Oryzias latipes: one gene and its partner. The protein of the gene in region 2 binds, or shares a complex with, the protein of the main gene of each other region. Links are inferred from orthologs where the notes say so. Each region holds a gene or a part of one and is shown on either strand. Other genes may lie near its edges.

Region 1 (3,656 bases), on a different chromosome or scaffold from region 2:
CAGTGGACCCTCACAAATCCGATGCAATTTTTTAACTACTGCTCCTCTGCAGTAACTATGTTCTAGAAACAATAGACGTTTTTTGATTTGATTGTTATTTGAGTTTAGGAACAAGAAACATGGAAAACACAAAAGCAAATTTTTTTCCAATAAAAAAATTGGAATCAAAACTATTAGAAAATATGGCTTGTTAAAAAATACTAAAAAATGTTTCTTTTGCATAAATTTACATATTTTAAATGCACACTTAAAGCAATGTAATCTAACTTTTGTGGAATGACCAACAACATGTAAAAATATGGAGGGGAAAATGCAACATTTTTAGTAAAAAAAACAATTTTATTTGTTCCTCATGATAACAGTGTGGGAGCCAACAATTATTGTCTAAGGACCGAGAAGAAAATTTAGAAAATGTTTACACTTTGGATGCTACAAGAACTAAATCATGGAGTTTAAGATGACGTTTACCAGAACTTCTTCAAACAAATTACATTTCTCCACATTGAGCGATGAGGATTGGGAGTTTTGGCTTGTTGTTGGGTCCTGTGGGAACATTCTGTTTGAAGAAAGAAGAACATTTCAGAATAACCAGATTAATAACAGATTGAATTTGCAGCCCATTTTCCCAAACCTTTCAGGTTTTATACTCAAAACACGGTTAAAGATCATAAGTTTTGGTACCAGGGGGGAAAAAAAATCAATAGAAATACTAAAACATCCCCTGTGACCTGCAAACTTACTTTAAAATAAAGATAGTCAGACCTGCCTCTGAGATTTTAACCATTTTTTGTTACAATCAAGTCAAGAAAAATTCTATTTAAGAAATAAGTTCTAAAAGGATCAAACAGTAGTTACGAAATTAAAGTCCAAATTTCTAATTTCTTTTATTTGTCTTAAGGTTTTAAAGAATTATTAACTGTTACTTATTTCTGACTCCAGGAAAATTTCCTGCTTTCTCTGTTTTAAAATGCTTGATTTAAAAAAAAAAACATACATTAGGTTTTAGTATAAGATAAATATAACTTCAAAACAACAGCTTTTTTCCCTTACGTGTACATTATTATAACACATTATCACATCTTTTATGTTTATGAGGAGATTTGCAAACATACAGCTCTCTTAAGGATTAACCATATCATTTCAATTGGATTTAAATTCAGATTAGACCTGTACAAACTTTTAAATCTGATTCCCCCCCCCCTAATAATTATGTTCTGGGGTTTTTGGGCTATATTGACATAAATTTCTTGCTTTACTTGGCCCCCACTTTTAATTAAGTTTTAGTTTATGACCATCACAACGGTTTTAAGATGTTAAGGGTTATTAGCTGGAAATTCTACCCAACAACAGTATCCCACCACCTCCTTACGGGGTAACCAAAGATCTTTTAGCAGGAACCCTTCAATTTTTTTTCTATACACTTTGCTGGAAACAAAGCCCAGCTGCCCAACTTTGTTCCCTTTTGGTTGTTAAACATTTTAAACATAGTCAATAAAGGTTCATCTTTACCTCAATTTTTCTCATGATCAGCAAACCATCCACCACTTTTCCTGAAACAGAAACAAATTTAAGAATTTTAATCACACACAGAAGAAGAAAACAAAAAGCGCTCTTATCTTAATAACGACTTATTTACCAAAAACAACATGTTTCCCATCTAACCAGTCACATTTCGTGCAGGTTAGGAAGAACTGGCAACCATTTGTCCCAGGACCACTGTTAGCCTGTGAGAGAAGTGAATAGTAAAAATAAAAACAAAACAAAAAATGTTTCAATCCAGTCGAATCTGATGTCATGTATAATAACAAGACATCCAAAATATTCACAGGGCAACCTCTTTGCCTGATGAAGATGTCTCACTCTGTAAATGTGAATTCCTTTGCAAACCTACCATAGAAAGAAGACCAGGAGCAGAGTGCTTGTGCTTGAAGTTTTCATCTGCAAAAGGTCCTCTGTAGATACTGCAGACGCCGGTTCCATCCCCCTGCAGAACAACTATTCTCAGCAGAGCTCTTGAGATGTAATTCAGCTTTCAACCACAAGAGGGAGAAAGCTTTCCTTTCCTGCCATCATTAGATTTCAGAGCAACATTTAATTGGTTATGTCCTGAACATAGCTTAATGATGAGGAAAAGAGAAGCTACTCAAACTGAGATGTTTCAGTTCACATTTTTGGTTAGTTCTGCATCTAGATCTGGTTTTGAATTTCTATTTCTTGCACATATGATGCTTAACCTTTGTGTTGTGTTTTCATTCTCCTGCATGAGTTTATGATTTATTGTAATACAAGACATAAAAAAACCTGTCTTTTATTTTGCATTTATAAACTACAACATCAGCCTGTATTTAATGGTACTAGTTCACCTGTAAAAGTCATCTGTAAGTTTTATGAGTATTTTAAATTGGGTTTATTTCAGAAGTGTTGTATACCTGCAAGAGTTAGACAGGGTGTGTCTGCATTGAAAAATCAAGATCTATTAAAAAACAGGCTAATGACAGAAGAAAAAGCTTCAACAGTTGAATGACGTCCAAACCTCAAAGAGATTAAACACTCGAACGCCAGCAAACACACAAACGCCAGCAAACACACAAATGATTAACATGATCTAACTTTTACTTTTGTCCAGCCTAAGAGAGATGTCGAGACGTTAGCGTACTTACATTGACAAAGTCTCCTCCTTGTATCATGAAGTCCTTGATGACTCTGCCATGGGACAAAGGTTGAGGGGGGGGGGGGGGGGGGGGTCAATAGAAATATAAAAACATTCGCTGTGACCTGCAAACTTACTTAAAACTAAAGATAGTCAGACCTGATATTTGAAACATTTTTTGTTACAATCCAGTCAAGAAAAATTCTATTTGAGAAATAAATTGTAAAATTATAGGCACGACATTAGACAGAAACGTACACTGAAGATCTACGCACACAACTGTTGATCCGTCTTAGCCTTTGAGTCACAAAAGTTAGCTTTCAAAGCTATAAAGACAAAGCACTTTGTTTCTGTGTACGGTGCAAGTCTTTCTAATTAGTTGTGGTATTTTTCTATTTTTTTTGTCTCATCACAGTTGCCTTGATGTCGGCAGTGGAAAGAAACTAAGCTTTTCTTTGTGATTCTTGAAGTGCATCCCATCTTATCCTCTCTTATCCATTTTAACTGCTGAGTCCCAACTAAAAGAGAGCCTCCAGTGCTGGCAGGTTTCTATCTCCTGGACTGATCTCAGACACTAAACTGGTCCCCATTTTCTTTTACGATCAAGTCAAACACGGGCCGTCTGGGTGACTTAAAACAATCCTCCTTTTTTGGTTTAGACTTGGTGATTTAGATAGAATTTGGTTAGATAAACCTGACAAGAAATGTTATTACTTTAAACTTGAATCAGAATTTGGTTGTTCTTCCCACAGTTTTAAGCCTTCTACTACACAGCTGTTTTCTACAATCCTACAAAATCCCCGACTCTGTGTTAAGCGCACCTTGAAGATTTGATGCTGATTTGGAGGGAAAAAGTACCAACACCAATTTGATTTGGACTTTTCTATTGCTCACTGATTTAACATTTTTTAAATTTATGGAAATAAACAATTATTATTTACACATCTGAAAGCATGCTTAGTTCACTGCCTTTTTTCCCTCCTGCCAAATATTGTTTTTGCACTGA
Region 2 (4,409 bases):
AAACAGCCGGAGACCCTCACAGCTGACGACTCCTTCTCCCACAATCAAAAGAAACCTGCCGTTCTCTCTCATCCTGCACGCTGCGTCAAACCCAACGTAATGACGCCATCAACGGAATGACGGCTACGGTGGCTGAGAAATGTCAACTTAGGGAAAAAACAAAAAGAAAAAATAAATAAATAAAAACTACACAAATATCCTATTTTAATACAACCAATTGTCTTGCCTGTGTTTTATCATAAAATAAGACTTTAATTAAGTACCAAGCTATAAATTAGTTGTTGCAAAAATTGCACCAGCAAAAATATGAACGTGTTGGTCAAATTATATAAGGATTCACGTAATTCAATTACATGAATCCATTTGGTAATGAAAAAAATTATTATTTTTTAAACCACTGTCACATTTATTTAGACTTTACCAAAACCAGACAGACCTTAATCATAAAATAGAATAGAACAGAATAGAATAGAATAGACTTATTTTATTGTCACTGTGTCACATGTACACGCAACAAAATTCCAGCTTTTCCTTTTTTATAATACAAGGAGTTGTGGCAGTGATCTATTCAATATTATTCTTCTCTTTCTTCTCTATTATCCTCATTTTATCATCATTATTTTTTTTAATTTTATTCTGTACTAATTTAAGGAATAAAAATGCATTTCACTGAAAATGAAGAAAAAATTACTGTATTATGTTTAGTCTAGACACTCATACCTAATGCGAACTAATCAGCAATGGTACAATCTGAAATTTGAGACACAGGATTTTGCTATAAGATATTATTAAGCGGTTTTATGCTTTGAAGGAAATGTTTGTGTATAGATAGATAGATAGATAGATAGATAGATAGATAGATAGATAGATAGATAGATAGATAGATAGATAGATAGATAGATAGATAGATAGATAGATAGATAGATAGATAGATAGATAGATAGATAGATAGATAGATAGATAGATAGATAGATGGATGGATGGATGGATGGATGGATGGATGGATGGATGGATGGATGGATGGATGGATGGATGGATGGATAGATAGATGGATGGATAGATAGATAGATAGATAGATAGATAGATAGATAGATAGATAGATAGATAGATAGATAGATAGATAGATAGATAGATAGATAGATAGATAGATAGATAGATAGATAGATAGATAGATAGATAGATAGATAGATAGATAGATAGATAGATAGATAGATAGATAGATAGATAGATAGATAGATAGATAGATAGATAGATAGATAGATAGATAGATAGATAGATAGATAGATAGATAGATGTTACACTTGGTCCTCTGTATTTATTTTTGAATTTCGTCACAGTAAAAGAACAAAAGAAAATGCTCCTGTGTTTGATAGATAGATGTTACACTTGGTCCTCTGTATTTATTTTTGAATTTCGTCACAGTAAAAGAACAAAAGAAAATGCTCCTGTGTTTGCGCATGTTTTGCGCTAGGGGGCAGTCATGTTTTAATAAGACGTGGCACCGAGTACGTAGAAAACGAAGAAGAGTCTGCGAGTAAAAATCGTGTTGCTAATCTAAGGCAGCACAAACATAACCTACCAGAATGGTAAGTTATTACTTACAAATGGACTATTTTGTAAAAATCACACACTATATAAAAATACTGACCTGTTCTTTGGCTTCAAAAATCCCATGTAACTGGTTTAAACATCGCAAATCAAGGCTAAGCTACGCTAGCAACCAATGCTAAATTGTTTTCTGCTTGTGGAACGCTGACTATACAAGTGGTTCTTTTTAAAATTATTTTCTATATAAATATATAAGGGGGGGGGGTCACCATTTCAGATACACGTTTAGTACTAAACTAAACACAAACGAATCATTATAGTTCGGAACAGAGCTTAAGTTTCTCCGCCGACACAGAAATACATTCAGACGTGTTCTTCATTTCTGAATCAATATTCCTTTTAGAATGCATTATTTTAATATATCATAGAGATCATAAATCGGACCCATTTCTACTATTTCGCAGCTTCCCTTGTCCCTTTTGAAGACGGCCCAGAACCATCCTATGGTAAGAAATAATTGCTTTTCTTTCCTCCTTCTATTCCTTATCTGGTGATTACTGGTTAAACCATTTTATTCAGTTACTTGTGGTTTTAAGATCAGGTTTTTTGTTTTGTTATTGAGATTGTTTGCATGTTTTTCTTTAAACAATAATTTTTGTGCATTTCTTTTTGAATAAAGAAAGAACCTTTTAGAAAACCATAATCACCAGCTGACCTTTTTTTCAATGAACTTTGATTTTTTTCAGCTGGTTGAACTGAAGAATGGAGAAACCTACAACGGTCATCTGGTTAGCTGTGACAACTGGATGAACATCAACTTGAGAGAAGTCATCTGCACATCCAGGGTAACAGATTTGCTCTCATGTTCTCAGTGGAGAACGATCCATAAACTGCACACCTTAAATAAAAAAAATTAGCTTAAATTTAACAGTCGCTTACCTGTTTCCTTCAGTTTTCATTCTGACTACCTTAGCCGTTTAAAGACCCACCCCAATTAAAATAGTGTATTTGTTTGGTTTGGTTTTTAACATGTTTTGTGGCATTTTTCTCATAATGACGGACATATATAAAGAAAGTTTGTAGGCAATTAGATCCATTTACGTCTTGGTTTTCCTCGTCTGAGCTGGCATCTGGCTTTAAACTGTACGTCTGTATAGCTTCAACATTCCCCACCAATTTTCTTGCACTTGGTGTTAGATTGGGGGTATGAGGGTGTGTAAGCTAGCAGGAGAGTGGAAACAAAGGGACCTTGGAAAATGCGGCAGGCTTTTTTAGGTATATTTCTAATGAACTTCTGTCACTCTGCAGAAACTGTCCTAGAAAACAAGACAAGTTTTTCATTTTGGCTTAAAGCTGCATAATGAAAAAAAACAAAATCAAAATACTGGGAATAGATCAAAAGATAATTGAAGTGAGCCTTTAAAATATAAAGACTAATGTATAATGAAGCAATGGTTTTAGTAAAACATCCTTTGATACATGTTGGAACAAAAACCTCAACGCTAATTTTTTTTGTTAGAAGAAAAAGGACTGATTATTGTTAAAGGCCCTGTACCATGCTATTCCTAAACCATTCATGGTAAAGAATATCCATATATATATTACCTTTGGCCCACAAAAGAAAGATTTTTTAAATTAAATATTAGTTACGTGGCGCAGTGGTTAGCGCAAGATCCCCCAGCCAAGTTTTGGGGACTTGGTTGCTGTTGGTCCCCCAGCCAACTGCAAGCCCAGCCAGGTCCAAGACTTGGCTGGGGGACCTGAAAAAGAACCTGTCTGTGTGGAGTTTGCATGTTCTCCCCGTGCATACGTGGGTTTTCTCCGGGGACTCCCACCTTCGTAGGTTAATTGGTTACCTTAAATTGTCCATAAGTGTGAATGCAAGTGTGCATGGGTGAGTGATTTGTGGACCTGTGACAGACTGGTGTCCTGTCCAGGAAGCCCCCTGCCTTCACCCATGAGTAGCTGGGATAGGCCCCGGCAGCCCAGTGACCCCAAAAGGGACAAAGCGGGTTTAGAAGATGAATTAAAAAATGATGAATGAATATTAGTTATTTTCCTGAGTTATTTTCCAACCTGGAAGCAAGACGACTGGATCTGAGGCACCGGCACTTCCATGATGTCAACCTATAGCCAGCATCAACAACATGTCTGTGTCTCGCCCACGAAACAAACAACATTCAAACTTTCGTAAAGATGAATGTGCATATTGAGCATGTAAAGAGAGTTTTGCCAAACACCACTAGCTTCATGGAGTGTGTGTTTTAGCCTGGGGGCGGGGCTGGCAGCGCAGACTCTTCCTGGAAGGGGCTGTTCTCACTTATCTACATCAGCTCGTGAGAACCCGCTTGTTTTTGTGGGTTAGGTGTGGCTGGTTCCTGGAGCACAGGTTTTTAGAGGAATTCTCAGAAATGCGTGAATGGGTCAATACTGGTTTGAGGTTTCTTTATAATACACCGGGAAGTTCAAAAAAGGGATTTAGCATAGACCCTTTGAAGTATACTGGTTACACTCATCGTTTGGTCTTTTTCCCACAGGATGGTGATAAGTTTTGGAGGATGCCAGAGTGCTACATCAGGGGAAGTACCATCAAGTATCTGCGAATTCCAGATGAGATTATTGACATGGTGAAGGATGAGGTGGTTTCTAAGGGTCGTGGACGTGGAGGTGCCCAGCAGAATAAGCAGCAGGGTAAAGGAAGAGGCGGAGCCGGCCGAGGTGAGAGGAAGCAACTTCTGCATTTGTTCTGTCATGATTTGCCTTAATGAGACTTAGATCAGCTTAAAATAAGTAAAAAATCCCTCTGTTAAAGCTTTTAAACACATCTGGTGAAACATCATCTTTATTTGTTTAGGAATTTA

The links. The genes of interacting proteins can lie anywhere in the genome.
Region 1: lsm4 (region 2) and ppih share a complex: the UniProt entries of both Homo sapiens proteins name them as parts of the U4/U6-U5 tri-snRNP complex. The link is inferred for Oryzias latipes from reciprocal best matches to the Homo sapiens genes LSM4 and PPIH.

What each region holds. Positions count from the first base shown.
Region 1 is NC_019865.2:7,791,001-7,794,656, reverse strand, and holds the end of ppih (peptidyl-prolyl cis-trans isomerase H), read right to left. Parts: intron 2,704-3,656; coding exon 2,661-2,703; intron 1,985-2,660; coding exon 1,892-1,984; intron 1,725-1,891; coding exon 1,637-1,724; intron 1,551-1,636; coding exon 1,510-1,550; intron 557-1,509; coding exon 488-556; 3' UTR 319-487; downstream 1-318. UniProt on the Homo sapiens protein: PPIase that catalyzes the cis-trans isomerization of proline imidic peptide bonds in oligopeptides and may therefore assist protein folding. Participates in pre-mRNA splicing.
Region 2 is NC_019862.2:13,834,355-13,838,763, reverse strand, and holds the start of lsm4 (U6 snRNA-associated Sm-like protein LSm4), read left to right. Parts: upstream 1-1,463; 5' UTR 1,464-1,583; coding exon 1,584-1,586; intron 1,587-2,012; coding exon 2,013-2,054; intron 2,055-2,294; coding exon 2,295-2,393; intron 2,394-4,085; coding exon 4,086-4,266; intron 4,267-4,409. UniProt on the Homo sapiens protein: Plays a role in pre-mRNA splicing as component of the U4/U6-U5 tri-snRNP complex that is involved in spliceosome assembly, and as component of the precatalytic spliceosome (spliceosome B complex).